2 linked regions of the Anolis sagrei genome follow. The protein of the gene in region 1 binds, or shares a complex with, the protein of each later gene. Links are inferred from orthologs where the notes say so. Each region holds a gene or a part of one and is shown in the gene's direction. Other genes may lie near its edges.

The links.
Region 2: the proteins of IRAK2 (region 1) and IRAK4 are in contact, whole or in part, in a crystal structure (PDB 3MOP), measured with the Homo sapiens proteins. The link is inferred for Anolis sagrei from reciprocal best matches to the Homo sapiens genes IRAK2 and IRAK4. Residues at the interface, in NP_001561.3 of Homo sapiens: Tyr6, Ile36, Lys44, Met48, Glu59, Trp62, Trp63, Trp64, Gly65, Met66, Arg67, Gln68, Ala69, Gln73; in NP_001107654.1 of Homo sapiens: Asp24, Phe25, Pro28, Gln29, Lys34, Glu92, Phe93, Phe94, Ala95, Pro96, Ser98, Val105.

Annotation. Positions count from the first base shown.
Region 1 is NC_090022.1:49,808,345-49,815,565, forward strand, and holds the start of IRAK2 (interleukin-1 receptor-associated kinase-like 2), read left to right. Parts: upstream 1-4,064; 5' UTR 4,065-4,275; coding exon 4,276-4,399; intron 4,400-7,221. UniProt on the Homo sapiens protein: Binds to the IL-1 type I receptor following IL-1 engagement, triggering intracellular signaling cascades leading to transcriptional up-regulation and mRNA stabilization.
Region 2 is NC_090025.1:137,127,805-137,135,754, forward strand, and holds the start of IRAK4 (interleukin-1 receptor-associated kinase 4), read left to right. Parts: upstream 1-4,883; 5' UTR 4,884-5,311; coding exon 5,312-5,314; intron 5,315-7,841; exon of another isoform or gene 7,842-7,950. Other genes in the region: pseudouridylate synthase PUS7L, read right to left, coding at 1-306.

The DNA of each region.
Region 1 (7,221 bases):
ATTGAGTGGGGCCCAGTGATGTCTTTTTCAAGGGAGGCATTAACCACCACCTTCACCCACTTGGTCAATCCTCCTCTGTCTTTTCTTTTATCAGCCAGGATGGGCAGGGGTCTAGGATGCATGTGGTCGCTCTCATTCCTCCAAGTATCTTGTCCACATCCTCGGGTTTAACTAGTTGAAATGAATCCAACAAAATCGGACAAGCAGGTGCTCATGTTACATCCTCAGAGACTGCCGTTAAACATGGTGTCCAGTCAGTAGTTGGTGGAAGCATATGCTACCAACTTAGTTTACTCAGGATATATCTACACTGCATCTTATAACTGCCATGGCTCCATGCTGTGGATTCTTGCTGTGGATCCTATAGTTTAGTGAGGAACCAGCACTCTTTGGCAGAGAAGGCGAAAGACCTTGTAAAACTACAGCTCTTAGGCTTCCATAGCATTGAGCCATGCCTGTTAAAGTGGTATCAAACTGCATTCTATTAAATGGATGCACCCAGGCTCTAAGATGGTAGAAGATCCCTTTGCGTGCTGACATGCCTAACTTCTGTAAGCAATGGTGATAGATAGTCCCAGTAGTCATGAAATCTGCTGGCAGATGTTTTTTACCTTTTCCTGTTTGGCAATTGAGTTAAGTACATTCCTTTTATTTTCAGAGTAGTACAGCATTGTTCTCCTTAACGGATGTTTGGATGGGGCAGTGATACAGAGAGGATTTGCTGGCTCCTTCCTACTTTTCTCTTCTGCATTGCCTTAAGTTACATTACTTTCTTATCTCAAAACAACGGGATCCTTCAGTAGATACCCGTTTTCTATAAATTGTACAATTTCCATATTTGTTTCTGGCAATGTCGAACTGCAAATTCATGATTATTGTTTTTTAAGCATCTCCATTGAAGTTGCAATCTAAACATACTAAAAAATAAGCCTGATTGAGTGCTGTGGGAAGTAACAACTAAATATCCATGCATTTAGGGTGATATAGTCTTTCTCTATAGATAGTGACAATAAATGTGTTTGAGCTAGGTGTCCCCACCATGTAACAACAACAACAACAACACACAGTCCTAAACACTTGGGAAGTGTTTGACTTGTGATTTTTGATACGAAATCCAGCAAATATGCCTCATTTGCTGTGTCATACTGTCAGTAAAATAATAATAATAATAATAATAATAATAATAATAATAATAATAATTTGTCAGTGTTGCAATCCCAGGTGTCAGCAGGATTGACAAGAAAACTGGAAAAGCTTGTACAATATGAAGATTTAAAGATAGAACTGCAAAGACTCAGTCAAAGTGGTCCCAGTGGTGATCAGCACACTGGGTGCAGTACCTAAAGACCTTGGCCTGCACTTAAACACAATCGGCGCTGATAAAATTATCATGTGTCAGCTGCAAAAGACCACTCTACTCGGACCTGCATGCATTATTTGCCGATACATCACACAGTCCTAGAAACTTGGGAAGTGCCCGACGTATAATCGAATGCAAAAGCGAGCATAGTGATCTTTTTTCCGAGTACTAATCTTGTATCAAATAATAATAATAATAATAATAATAATAATAATAATAATAATCACACAGTCCTAAACACTTGGGAAGTGTTCAGCTTGTGATTTTGTGATACAAAATCCAGTGTATATATCTTGTTTACTGTGTCATAATAATAATAATAATAATAATAATAATAATAATAATAATAAAGATCTCAACCGGCATTTGGAAAGAATAAACATTGACAAAATCACTATCTGTCAACTACAAAAGGCCACCTTACTTGGATCTTTGCACATCATTCGAAAATACATCACACCGTCCTAGACGCTTGGGAAGTGTTTGACTTGTGATTTTTTGATACGAAATCCAGCATATAGATCTCATTTGCTGTGACATACTGTACTTTTGTGTCAGTAAAATTAATAATAATAATAATAATAATAATAATAAATAATTAATAATACTTTATATACCATCCTTTTGGGGAGATTTTGTTGTTGTTCACTCGTTTAGGATGGTACATAAATAAAATGTTGTTGTTATATAGGGCCAGGCTGTAGCACAGCTGGTTAATCACTAGCATCAATAAATCACTGCCGACTGGAAGGTGGCAAGTTCAAAGCCCGAGTTGGGTTTGAGCTCCTGACTGTTAATAACCCAGCTTACTGTTCACCTAAGCAGTTCAAAAACAGCTGAGCTGTGAGTAGAAAAATTAGGGACCGTTTAAAGCGGGGAGGTTAATTTATAACACCATAAAAATGCCACAGATCAAAGAAGAAATACTACGATCAAACGCACAGCGTCATAGTGGATGAAGTGACAGCTCCCTCTGTGGCTGGAATCGAGCAACCTTCAGGAGCCGAAGTTGGAAAAAAAATGCTGAATTACTTCTATCTGTCTGTATGTCTTGTATGTCTAAAAGCAGCATGGATTGTTTGCCGTACATGTGTGCATTCTGATCTGCCCTGGGTCCCCTTCGAGGTGAGAAGGGCGAAATATAAATACTGTAAATAAATACATATGGTGGGGACACCTAGCTCAAACACCTTTATTGTCACCATCTCTACTCCCAGGTGAGTGTCCAAATAGGGGGGATAACAGCATGCAATGTATACGTTTTTTGATCCTGCATAAAATGTCAGAACAAATAATTCCTATTTTCGGAAGATAAATGAGCAAACCAGTGGTACAATACATAGTTCGGACACACTTGTCTGTCTCTTCCCAGTTATGATTATCAGTAAGAGTGAAGTTGCCTCATTGCAGAAGTTCATTGTATTTCCTGCCAAGAAATATAAGTAAGTTTTTCAAGATAGCTCGTGGCGCATATAATCAGAGAAGAATTTTTTTTATTCCCTTCCTGTTTTGGCTGTAAAAAAACTAGGGCTGGGCGGTTTCGTTTCGTTAATTCGTAATTCGTTAAAAATTCGTTATTTTTTTTATAACGAAGCGATAACGAACCATTCTGGAGCAACTTAAAAATGAAACAAATTTTTAAATTCGTTTCGTAAATGCTTCTTGATTCGTTATGTATTCGTTTCATTATCGGTTTGAGGTCATTTCGTTATTATTTCTGCATGTCTGGGGCAAGTTTTATAGTTGTTTTTTGTTTAATTAGTGAAAAAAAATTATAATATCACACCAACAGTCAACAACAGAGGGAGAGGGAAGCTTCAGAAGTTCCCCCTGTCCCATTTGGAGGTATTTTAGCGTATTGCGCGGTCGCGACCGCCATTAACGAATCGATTCGTTATTGTTATTTGTTTCGTTAATGTTTCGTAATTTTTTTAACATTTACGAAATTTCGTAAATATTGAACTTTTTAAAAGAAAAATTTCGGAATTCTTTTAAATATCGAAACGCAAAAACCCCAAAAAAATGAATCAATTTTAGAAACAAATTTTTCCATTGTTACCCAGGCCTAAAAAACCCCCAAAACTTTTGACTTCAAATGAGTGACGTCATAGAGGACAGAAAGGGAGGGGCAAATAACCTAATATGATTGGCTCTTCGTTTTGTCACTCCACCCCTTAGATAAATGACTGCTGACCTTCCACACAGCAGAATAAAATCCCACATAATCTGCTCTGAACCGGATTTTTTTGGCAGTGTGGACTCAGATAACCCGGTTCAAAGCAGATATTGTGGGATTTTCTGCCTTGGTATTCTGAGATATAGGGCTGTGTTGGAAGGGCCCTGAAGAATGTAGAATTAATGAGGTTTGGCACCACTTTAACTACCATGACTCATGGGATTTGTAGTTTTAGGTCTTGAGCCTTCTCTGTCCAAAAGAAGGCTTACCAAACTACAACTCTTGGGACCATACAACCCAGAATATCAAGGTAGAAAAATCCCACAATATCTGCTCTAGACTGAGTTATCTGAGTCCGCACAGTTCGAAGCAGATAATGTGGGGTTTTATTCAGCTGTGTGGAAGGGGCCCCAGCATCCATAAGCACTGAGCCACGGGAGTATGAAGCGGTGTCAACCCGCATTGATTCTACAGTGGAGACGCCCCCAAGTGCGGGAAGCGCCTTTGCGTCAGGAGTGGAGGGACACGCGTCACGTCTGAAGGGCGGGGCGAGACCCGGGAAAGCCCCTGCGGGGCGGCCAAAGGAGCAGGAGCTGGAAAGGCGAGTTTCCAAAGAGGAAGGCGGCAGAGGCGTCTCTCTTGAGTTTGAAGGGGTTGGTCTGGATGGCCTTTGGGGTCTCTTCCAACTCTTCTCTGAGTCTGTAAAGAAGGCTCTCTCTCTCTCTCTGCCGGGATCCCCATGGCCAAAGGCGGCGAGGAGGGAATGGACCCCCCCGAATACATCCACGGCATCCCCGCCTGGGTCCTGGAGGACTTCTGCCAGAAGATGGACTGCCTCCACGACTACGACTGGATGCGCTTTGGTGAGCCCTTTTGGTGGCCTCTCTCGGGGTGCAGCCACACTGGAGCTTCCCCCCGCAGCTGCTTAAGAATGTTCGAATGCTGAGGCTGGCCAGTCAGAAACCATATGTAAATTAGTAGGTCGAGATAACTCATGCATGGGCCAACTTGGGCTCTCCAGGTGTTTTGGACTCCAACTCCCACCATTCCTGACAGCCTCAGGAATGGTGGGAGTTGGCAGCTGAAGGGGAAAAGGAAAGGGTCTGAGGCTGTCAGGAATGGTGGGAGTTGGAGTCCAAAACACCTGGAGGGCACAAGTTGGCCCATGCCTGCTATAGACCTTGTAAAACTACAACTTTCCAGGATTTGTTTCCATGCTTTTCATGATTACACGGAGCACCGTTACCTTCCCACAGAAGCAATACCTATTGATCTACTCACATTTGCATGTTTTCGAACTGCAAGGTTGGCAGAAGTTGGGGCTAACAGTGGGAGCTCACTCCACTCTCTGGATTTGAACCGTTTTGGTCATCAAGTTCAGCAGCTCGGTGGTTTAACCCACTGCACCACCAATTTAAGATACAAATTCAACTTAAGATCAAACCTGCCATTCATAACTTGGGGACTTCCTGTATGTGCTACTACAGAAATCATTCACTTGTTATTCTTCCCACTTTTTATCCAGATAACGCAGTATTCCCCCTTACCTTTATCCACAATCAGAGGATTGTAAGAGATGAAGGTGATATGAAAAATGTCATTTGTGCCCTTCTGTTTACCAGCCTCAGTCTCTGATTGATTGATTGATTGATTGATTGATCTGTTATTTCCAGCAGGCCTGTCCTCCAAATATGTTTATCTACTACTACTACTACAAAAAAAATTAGAATGTAATAGGCAACTTTCCTGCAGCTGTAGACCAAACATGTGCAGCCTGGGGACTGTTGTTGAGGGCCTTTCCAGGAATTTCTGCCTTGTCTGTCATCTTAGGTGAATCTATCACAGGGCTTTCCTTGCAAGGTTTGTTTGGAGAGGGTTTGCAATTGCCTTCCTCCAGGGGCTGAGAGTGTGTGACTTGCTCAAGGTCATCCAGTAGGTTTACATGTCGGAACATGTCTGGTCTCCAGAGTCCTAATCTAACTACGTTTTGCTAAACAAAGAAGCTGCATTCAAACCTGAATTTCAAGCTACAAGCTTGGGGTTGTAATGGTTGTTAATCAAATGGATGGATGGAATATTTCGCTTTGCAATTCATTCTTTATTGAAGTATTTGAATACCTTGGTTTATTCAGCTTTCACGCCTGAGAGCATCTTCAGGTTCAATGGAAGTTGTCTTATACTGAGTCAGGCCTGTTTGTTATCCTGTCTGACAGCCTCTTTCCAGACTTTCGGACAGAATTGTTTCCTAACTCTACCTGGATCTGGTCTGCATTGAACCTGAAACCTTTGCGTGATTGGTAATTATTATCTTAAGACTCACACCCATTCAATAAACCTGTAAGTTAAGTGCAGACACACAATACCTGTTTAATTTATGAAACCGGGTGTCATGCAAGAATTGAGATGTCATGGGAGCATCGGGAGTCAGCAACAAGCCTGCCTCTCAGGAGATTCGAGGCCAAATTTCCTTGATTGGAGCCTTGAAAGGGTTAGGGTTTTTAGCTTAAATGCTGCTAACATTTTAATTTGGGAAATAAAGGGTATGTGTACCAAGTTTGGCCCAGGTCCATCAAGCCACATAGAAGCCTTTGAGGTACAAACACACATGCGTACGTATTTTCACTTTTATTTGTATAGATGAGTCTATTAATAGGATGAATATGGAGAAAGCCTTTCAGAAGTGAAGTGGAAAAATTGTGTTGCATCTGAGTTCTCCTTTGTGGTTTCTTTGGGAAACATCTGGTTATCCAGCGCAGCAAGCAGGATGCTTAACTAGATAATAGAGTTAGGAAACGTTATCATTGTGGACTACAGTTCCCAAAATCCCCCAGAAACCAGTGTGGCCACCAGGGAGACAATGAGTTAAACCCTTGTGCCAGCAGGACCGAAGACCAACAAGTCAGAGATTTTAATCTGGGGAGAGCTCCCTCTCTCAGCTTCAGCTCTCAATGCAGGGACATGAGAGAAGCCTCCCACAAGGATGGTAAAAACATCAAAACATCCAGGCGTCCCCTGGGCAACGTCCTTGCAGATGTCCAATTCTCTCACACCAGAAGCGACATGCCGTTTCTCAAGTTGCTCCTGACACGAAAAACAAAAAACCAGGAGGGCTCTGAGTTGTGGTCCAAAAAAGTAATTTTTCCAAGCTCTTCTACACTCTTCAAATGCAGAAAATTTCTTATGTAATAAGAATTTTTGAAAAATACCTTTGTATATCATTTCTGTTTGCATAGTGGGCCACAGTGCACATTACTTGGAATTTGGATACCTGCAGCTGTATTTAAGCAAAAACATGAATTGCAAACTCAGATTTCCTAAGTGTTGTGTAGTTGGACCTGATTCTATTCTGTCCAAGTCAGACCATCTGATGAAAAGGTTGTTTAACTCATTTTCTTAATTTAAATAGCATTTGCTTTCTCTTCCATAGGAAAAAAAATCAAATATGTATTAACACAAACCTGTCAGTGTAACTGCATGAAAGTTCTGATGTTTTCATTCACTATTAGGAAAAATCAGTTTTGGGTCAGCAAATGTTGGCAAAGTCTCTAAAATACTATGAATAATGTATTACCTTCCCATGAAGGAAATTGCAGTCTTGCAGATTTCTTCTGAAACTCTTGAGGCAATAAACCCAGTCAAATGTTGTGGCTTGGGGATGTATGTGAAATATCACCAGAATCTATAT
Region 2 (7,950 bases), on another chromosome or scaffold:
AACGTCTGAGGGACAATGAACATCCCCATCGTGTTCTCTGAAATATTCCTCTTCTATGCACAGCTCTGAAGGACTCAGCCTGAGTCTTTTGGAATCCTGCTGACAGCTCCTGCTTTGGTCTGACAAGGTTCCGCCAGATTTAGAAAGACAGTCCGTTGCAATCTCATTAACCAACTGTCCATGCATATTAATTTCTGTCACAACAAAGTCACTTGGAAAGGTTTTGATACAGCCACAGAAGCCAACATGATCATTCACATAAGTGGAAGAGTCATGTGTTACGGGTGTGCCAGAGTCTTCTTCCATTCCAGTATTAGATAGTCTAGAAAAAGTAACAAAAAAGATCAAGTTAATTCTCAGAATATTATCTGGATGTCGGGGATGTGATAGGCTGTGAAAAGCTAAATTTAGAGACAGCCATTACATTTTAAAAACATATTTTAATACCTATTTTACATTAAAAATTTAAAATGTACTCTATGTAATCTGAAGTCATTGCTATTTACTATCATGTCAATTTGGACTTATGGCAAGGTTCCTTAAACATTATATACTATTAATTATTTAAAGTTAAAGTGGTGTTGAACTGCATTAATTCCCAAACCTGGAGAACTAGAGTTTGGGAACTGCTGCTGTCATTTGACTAATCCTGGGCTAATGGTGCTGGACCACAACTCTCATCAACTCCTATTTGCATGGTCAGCATCCCTGACTCAGAGATAATGGAAGCTATTGTTGCAGCTATCAAACTGGGGTTCCAAACATTCAACCCCTTCTGTGGAAGTTGCGCCCTTCGTCCAAGGAGGAAAAAACCCAACAAAAAGAAACTGTCCTTTAGCAAAGAAATATTTATATGAAGGAATTTACAAATGAAGCAGCATCCTTAGAATATTCAGCTGCTTCCACACAATGGCTTGTAAACACAAAGTCCTTATCTCCAAATAAGACGCCACAGTCTTGCTCTTCAGACGTTGTAATGATATTACACCTCTGGCAACTTCAGCCTTGGGCTCCAAACTCTCTCTCCAATCTTCAATCTTTCTCCAACCTATTTCCAGCCTCGAGTAACACAATGTACTTAGTCTCTATTATTAGTACTTCAACTCCCACAGGTGGCTTGATTGTTGCTGACCATACAATGATTGGACATGATTCTTACAATCTCACTTACCCATTTTTCACTTTAGAAATGACCTAAACAATATAAAACTCTGACACCTATAGCCCAAGATTTGAACACTTGATGAGAAAATAAAAACCAGGAGAGGCAAATCTTCCTGCACAAATACCCTGCTTTTTCAGAGCCATACATTGGAAATGATCTTTCCGATCCCTCTCCATTGGAATATGGAAGGTTTAGGTGCTCTTACTGCCTATTACAGGCAAAACCAGCTGATTCCCAATCCATCTAAGACACAGACATGTGCTTTTCACCTTAAGAACAGACAAGCATCTTGATCTCTGAGGACTGCCTGGGAAGGAATTCCACTGGAGGATTGCAGCACACCAAAATACCTGAAATATCAAGCAAAAAGTGGGTGCTAGAAATAATATCATATGAAAGCTGACTGGCACAACCTGGGAATCACAACCAGACACAGTGAAGACATCTGCCCTTGCGCTTTGCTACTCTGCTGATGAATAGTGAACCTTTAGCATTTTGTCTTCTATTAGCACTTTATACTGATTTAGGACTGCTTGTTCGTTTCCACCAACGCCCCACCTCCTCTATCTTGTTCATGCCCAGCATTATTTTTCAACTTAATTACATTTGGCCCAGCCATAGTTTTAAATGTGTTTTGTGCTATTGTTCAATGTTTATGCTATTTGTGTATGAGATTTATTTTAATTGCTTTGTATTAGTAGTTGTATTTTGTTTCATATTGTGGTTGTTATTGCTTGTATTGATGTATTGTGGGCTCGGCCTCATGTAGGCCACACCGAGTCCTTAGGGAGATGGTAGCGGAATATAAATAAAGTTTATCATTAAGATTATTATATTATTATTAATATGCATGGCCAGTGTGGAATACATCTCACCATGCTAAAACAGTGGGTGTGGCTCTTAAGGAGACATACTGTGTTCTGTCGCAGCTGGAGCCGAAATGAAGTGCTTTTAAGAGAGGATGTTAGGCTTGCATCCAGCGGGAAGCCAGGGGGCCCGAAAAGAAGCCTTTAGGAAAAAATCCCCTTATTAAGCAGTCTTTATAAGGCTTGAGCTTAAATATAACAGTTCTTTATTAATGAACAAACAGGAATTGTAAACTTTCTTATCAGTCTATTAGCTCTTGCAATCTTGTTTACAGGAAACAGGCACTATCTTCAAAACTTTGCTCGAAGGAAAATTCCCCCTTTTAGCTCCTCCCAGGCTGTTGTGAACCTAAACCTAACTGACTTGAGTCCACTACCGGCTGAACTGCGTCTCAGAACCTAGCAGGCCCAACAGGCCTGTAATCACTTAGCTGGAGATGAGCAGAGCTGTTATTCCCTCTGGAAGTCCTCAGGGCTGTAAAGCTGTTTCCCTGGAACCCTTTGGGAATCTGTAGAGGCTCTTAAAACTGTTCTCCCCCGGGAAGTCTTAAGAGACGAAGCCTTTGCACAGGACGTTTGTGTACATCCTCTGCATTGACTTCCTTTTTGAGACTAACTGAAAAATGGTCCCTTCCCTACAAAAAACCCAGAGAGGGGCGAGACCAGGGATCCTAACTATTATTGACAGGTGGCTTGCCCTATGAATGCAAATTATAACAGGAAGCCACCCTGCTGCAAAATCCCAAGCCTGGGATTGCAAAGCAACATTTAATCCAAAGAAATAAAATTGGAGCTCCTGGAACAGCTGTTCCAGAACATACTGCATTATGACAGGATGTCTACGCACTACTCTGCTGGATAAATCATACCGTTTAGCTGGTATTGCACTACCTGATATCTGTCAGAAAGTAGCAGGCAGTAATGAAAGGACCAAGACATTGACATCTCCGGCCTTGTTTGGCTATCAGTCAGCAAGCTAAGGCCTTAAATCAAGAAATAGCTTCCTAAGATTTACAGAGATACTCGCAGGAACACCTTAGCATTCTCAAAAGAGGCAAGCTAAAACCAAGAAAATCAAGCCATGGCTGAACTGGATGAGAGATTCCCACCGGGTGCACAGAAGACTGGGTGACTTGGAAGGCGCTGAACAGACTGCGGTCAGACACCACGAGATGCAGAGCCACCCTTAAGAAACGGGGCTACAAAGTGGAGTGTGGAGAAGAGCAAACCACAGACCACCTACTACAATGCAACCTGAGCCCTGCCACATGCAGAATGGAGGACCTTCTCACAGTGACACCAGTGGCCAGCTTCTGGTCAAAAGACATTTAGGATAGTGCCAAGTTTTTAACTTTGCTTGTGTTTTTAAGTATAACTGTATCCTCAATTCGTTTCTGATAAATAAATAAATAAATAAATAAATATGGGAGGACTAGGAATACAAACTGAGCCACCCTGATTCAAAATAGTCCAAACTCGTCCACATGGCTGGCTGAGATAGTGACACCTTTGCTTCCTGATGGTTCAGGACACACAAACTTTATGAACAATACTATGAAAAAAATATTGTGCAGACCATTATGTGCATATATAAAACAGAAATAAATGGTTGTGCTTGGACTTCTGTCTCATTTGCAAGATGTCTGATTATGTACGTTTTTGAAAATGCAGGTATCTGGAGAGAGAAAAATATTCAAAATCCCAAACACAAGCACTTCGGATAAGGGATACTCAACCTGTACAGATTCTGTGATCAAGATCCCCGCAGATTAAAAAAAAAAAATACCCCAACTCCTGCCTTTCTTAAATGTCTTTGGAAGGCTCCTCTGCAAACACAATCCCAGTCTCCAAAGGGATCTTCCATTTGCCACTCGCCGCAGGGGAAGATTAGGAGGCGTGGCCAAGTGAGCAGACTATACCACTGTCATTGATTAGGGGTGGCTCTCATAGTGAGAAACGGAATGGTCTCCCTTTTCCAGTTTGGCCGATACCATTATGGCCCAAACTCAAAAAAATAAACCAAGCAAAGCAGCCAGTCCTCTCTACGAGTCAGAAAGCACAATGTAAGTGAGAAGTGTGGGATAAAATGAAGTGCAGCTCCCCTCATCAGCCTCTCTGTTGGTTTTAAGGAAGCGTCCCCACCCGCTTTCCTCCGCAATGGGCCTGTCCTAAAGGGAAGAGGAGCTAATGCGCATGCGTGGAATTGGAGCGCTCAGGGGCGCGCCAGATTAGAGGGAAGTGACAGCGGGGAAGTTCCCAGGTTGAGTCAAATGGGGAAGCAAGTGGGCGGAGCCAAAGGGGAAAGTAAATGGGGGAGCCCTTTAGCTGGGGAAAGGCTCATTTCGGGGACCTTAAAGGGTGAGCTATGCCATTTATCCTCTCCCTCTTTTTTCTTCTTTGAACAGCAGGGCTGTGCTCAGTATTGTAAAGTCCTGGTTTAGCCAGAACAGGCACACAAACCCTTTAAATGCCTTTATATTTATGGTGTCTCTCCAAAATGTATTCACCCTTCTGTAATGATTTATGGCATAGCATCGTAGGATTTTCTTAGGCAAACAGTATTCAGGATGGTTTTGCCAATCCCAGGCTCAGGTACTCATTATTGGTGGTCTCCCATCCAAGTACTAACCAGGGCTGACCCTGCTTAGCTTCCAAGATCAGACAGCATCTGGTGCCTTGAGCCTAATTAGGGATAAGACTCTTTATTGTTTTATGTACACCTGTGTTTTTATATATGGACGTGATGGGATATTTTGGGATCCAAGTCTAAACATGGAATTCATTAATGTTTCATGTACACCTTATACACTGCCCGAAGTATGATCCCCCAGTGGTGCAATGGGTTAAACCCTTGTGCTGGCGGAACATGCTGACTGACAGGTCAGCAGTTTGAATCTGGGGAGAGCGGGTTGAGCTCCCTCTGTCAGCTCCAGCTCCCCATGCGGGGACACGAGAGAAGCCTCTCTCACACCAGAAGTGACTTGCAGTTTCTCAAATCATTTCTGACATGAAAAAATACTGCCCAAAGTTATTTCTATTTTTCATAATATTGTGCATGAGACATAGGTTGGGTACACTGAACCATCAGAAAGCAAAGGGGCCTCTGTTTTAGCCACCCATGAGATAATCTTGAATCTTGGAGTATTTTTGGATTTTGGAGTTCCATATATGTTCTAGAGAAGTGTTGTGAAATGACAAGAGAAACGTTGTGACTTTGGTTCAACAGTGTGAGCAGTGTGCATGACTGCACAATCATGGCGATTCGAACACCTAACATAAAATGGTAAATTAAGATGGAATTTTTAGCACCGATTACATTATTGTTATAACAACTATTTAAATAAAAGTATTCTGTTTGTTTGTGGGATTAACAACCCAAAAACCACTAGACGAATTGACACCAGATTTGGACACCATACACCTATCAGGCCAACAAGTGACCATTACTCATAAAAATACTGAAAAACACAGCAGAAGAGACTTAAAAAGCTAAAAAAACAAAATTTACATTACAACGCATGTGCAAAACCACACACACACACATATGCAAACACACATATACGCAAATATATATACACACAAAACATATATAAAGACTGGACCACAGCAATGCGTGGCAGGGGACGGCTAGTTCTTTAATATAAATGTCTTTAACTTTTGAGAGGAACTCGCGATGGCACATCAGGTTAAACCACTGAGCTGCTGAACTTGCTGACCGAAAGGTTGGTAATTCGAATCCAAGGAACAGGGTGAGCTCCTGCTGTTAGGCCCAGCTTCTGCCAACCTAGTAGTTTGAAAACATGCAATTGTGAGTAGATCAATAGGTACTGCTTCGACAGGAAGGTAATGGCGCTCCATGCAGTCATACTGGCTAAATGACCTTGGAGGTGTCTATGGACAATGCCGACTCTTCAGCTTAGAAATGGAGATGAGCACCCCCCCCCCCCGAGTTAGACACGACTAGACTTAATGTCAAAGGGATCTTTAACCTTTAAGAAATAATCATAACAACTGTTAGTTATATAAAAGGGTGTGTATGTATGTGTGTGTGTGTGCATCTATCTATCTATCTGTGGACACTGTTGCTTGCTCTGGTTAAGCACTGTGGAGTAAACTGCCACTTGTTTGGCTCCTTTCATTGAGCAGGCTCCCACTATCTGGATCAGAATCCAGCCTCCTTGTTGTTGTGTGCTTTGAAGTCATTTCCAATCTATGGTGACCTTAAGACGGACTTAGCACAGGATTTTCTTGGCAACAGCATTTCAGAAGTGATCTGTGCTTGCCTTCCTCTGAGGTTAAGAAAGAGTGTCACTTGTTCAAAGACACCCAAGTGGGCATCATGACCAAGTGTGGATTTAGATTGTGATCTCCAGAGTCATAGAAACCAGTACACCACACTGGTTTCTATGATATATATATTGTCATTTAAAGATTTTGCCAGGTTTCATTAAAATTAGACTTTCTTTGGGTTGTACTTTTTTCAGGCTATATGGCCATGTTCTAGAGGCATTCTCTCCTGACATTTCGCCTGCATCTATGGCAAGCATCCTTAGAGGACCTCACAACCTATGAGGATGCTTGCCATAGATGCAGGCGAAACATCAGGAGAGAATACCTCTAGAACATGGCCATATAGCCCGAAAAAACCTACAACAACCCAGTGATTCTGACCATGAAAGCCTTCGACAATAGACTTTCTTTCTTAATACAGAAAGGGTTTTCTCCCTCCCCTCTGGATTTTCCCCCAGGAAAAGCTTTATAGTGCCCACCAGTTCATTATATTGTGTATATCAACACTAGAACACAGCCCGAAAACCACACAACACTCCACTGTATATCAGTTGTTCTCTCAACACCTCTCCCTGATAAGCATAATATTACCTTATCTGGGAACTGTGTTAAAATATATTCTAATTGATGGATAATCCTTTAAATGTTATCAGTTTGGGAGCAAATTGCTTGGTTTACATTATGTAATGCAGTTTATATTCCTGAGTTATAAATGTCATTTCCTAATTGGTTCTATCATAGAAATATGGGGAAAGTGTATTGAACTGCAAAAACTGTTTTTGCGGGACATCCTGCAGCACACTTTGCTATAGTTTTTCAATTATCTCTATAGATTTCTAACCAATTCAACATAGTTTGTGGCAACCACAAAAAACGTTTCTGGAGTATAGCAAGTACTTTCAAAGTAATTAGCGTACAATTAAACAACAAATAACTCTTTCAAACCAGAAACAGAATATTTTTTTCAAATTTTGTTACATAGTGTTATTGGTAAATCTTGGGCCTTATCTATATTATCAACGTTTCAGACTGCATTATGTGGTGAATGGATACATATATAATGCAGTTTAACTTCATTGAACTGCATTGTATGACTCTGACCATAAAATGAAGTTTTGCACTGTTATATTTATTTATTTATTTATTTATTTATTTACAGTATTTATATTCCGCCCTTCTCACCCTGCAGGGTACTCAGGGCAGATGACAGTGCACATATACATGGGAAACATTCAATGTCAATTAGACATACAATATATATAGACAGATACAGAAGCAATTTAACATTCCAGCTTTTCCAGCTTCATCAGGGTATGCTCAATTCTGGCCACCGGCCGGGGGGCGGGGGGCTGCTGTGCTGCTTCACTGTCTATTTGTGACACCGAGTCTTTTGATGGAGTACTTTCTCATGCTTCTGCATGCTGCTGGAAGGTTTTATGGCATTGTAAATTAGTTAAATAAGTAAATTAGTTAAATAAGCCTCTCCGCATAAAGCAGTACCTAAATTTTCTATTTGACAGATGCAACTGTCTTTTGGGCTGCAAAGGTCAACAGCAAGCTAAACTAATGGCCTGAAGCTCACTCTGACCCAGGCTGGCTTTGAACTCATGACCTCTCAGTCAGTAGTGA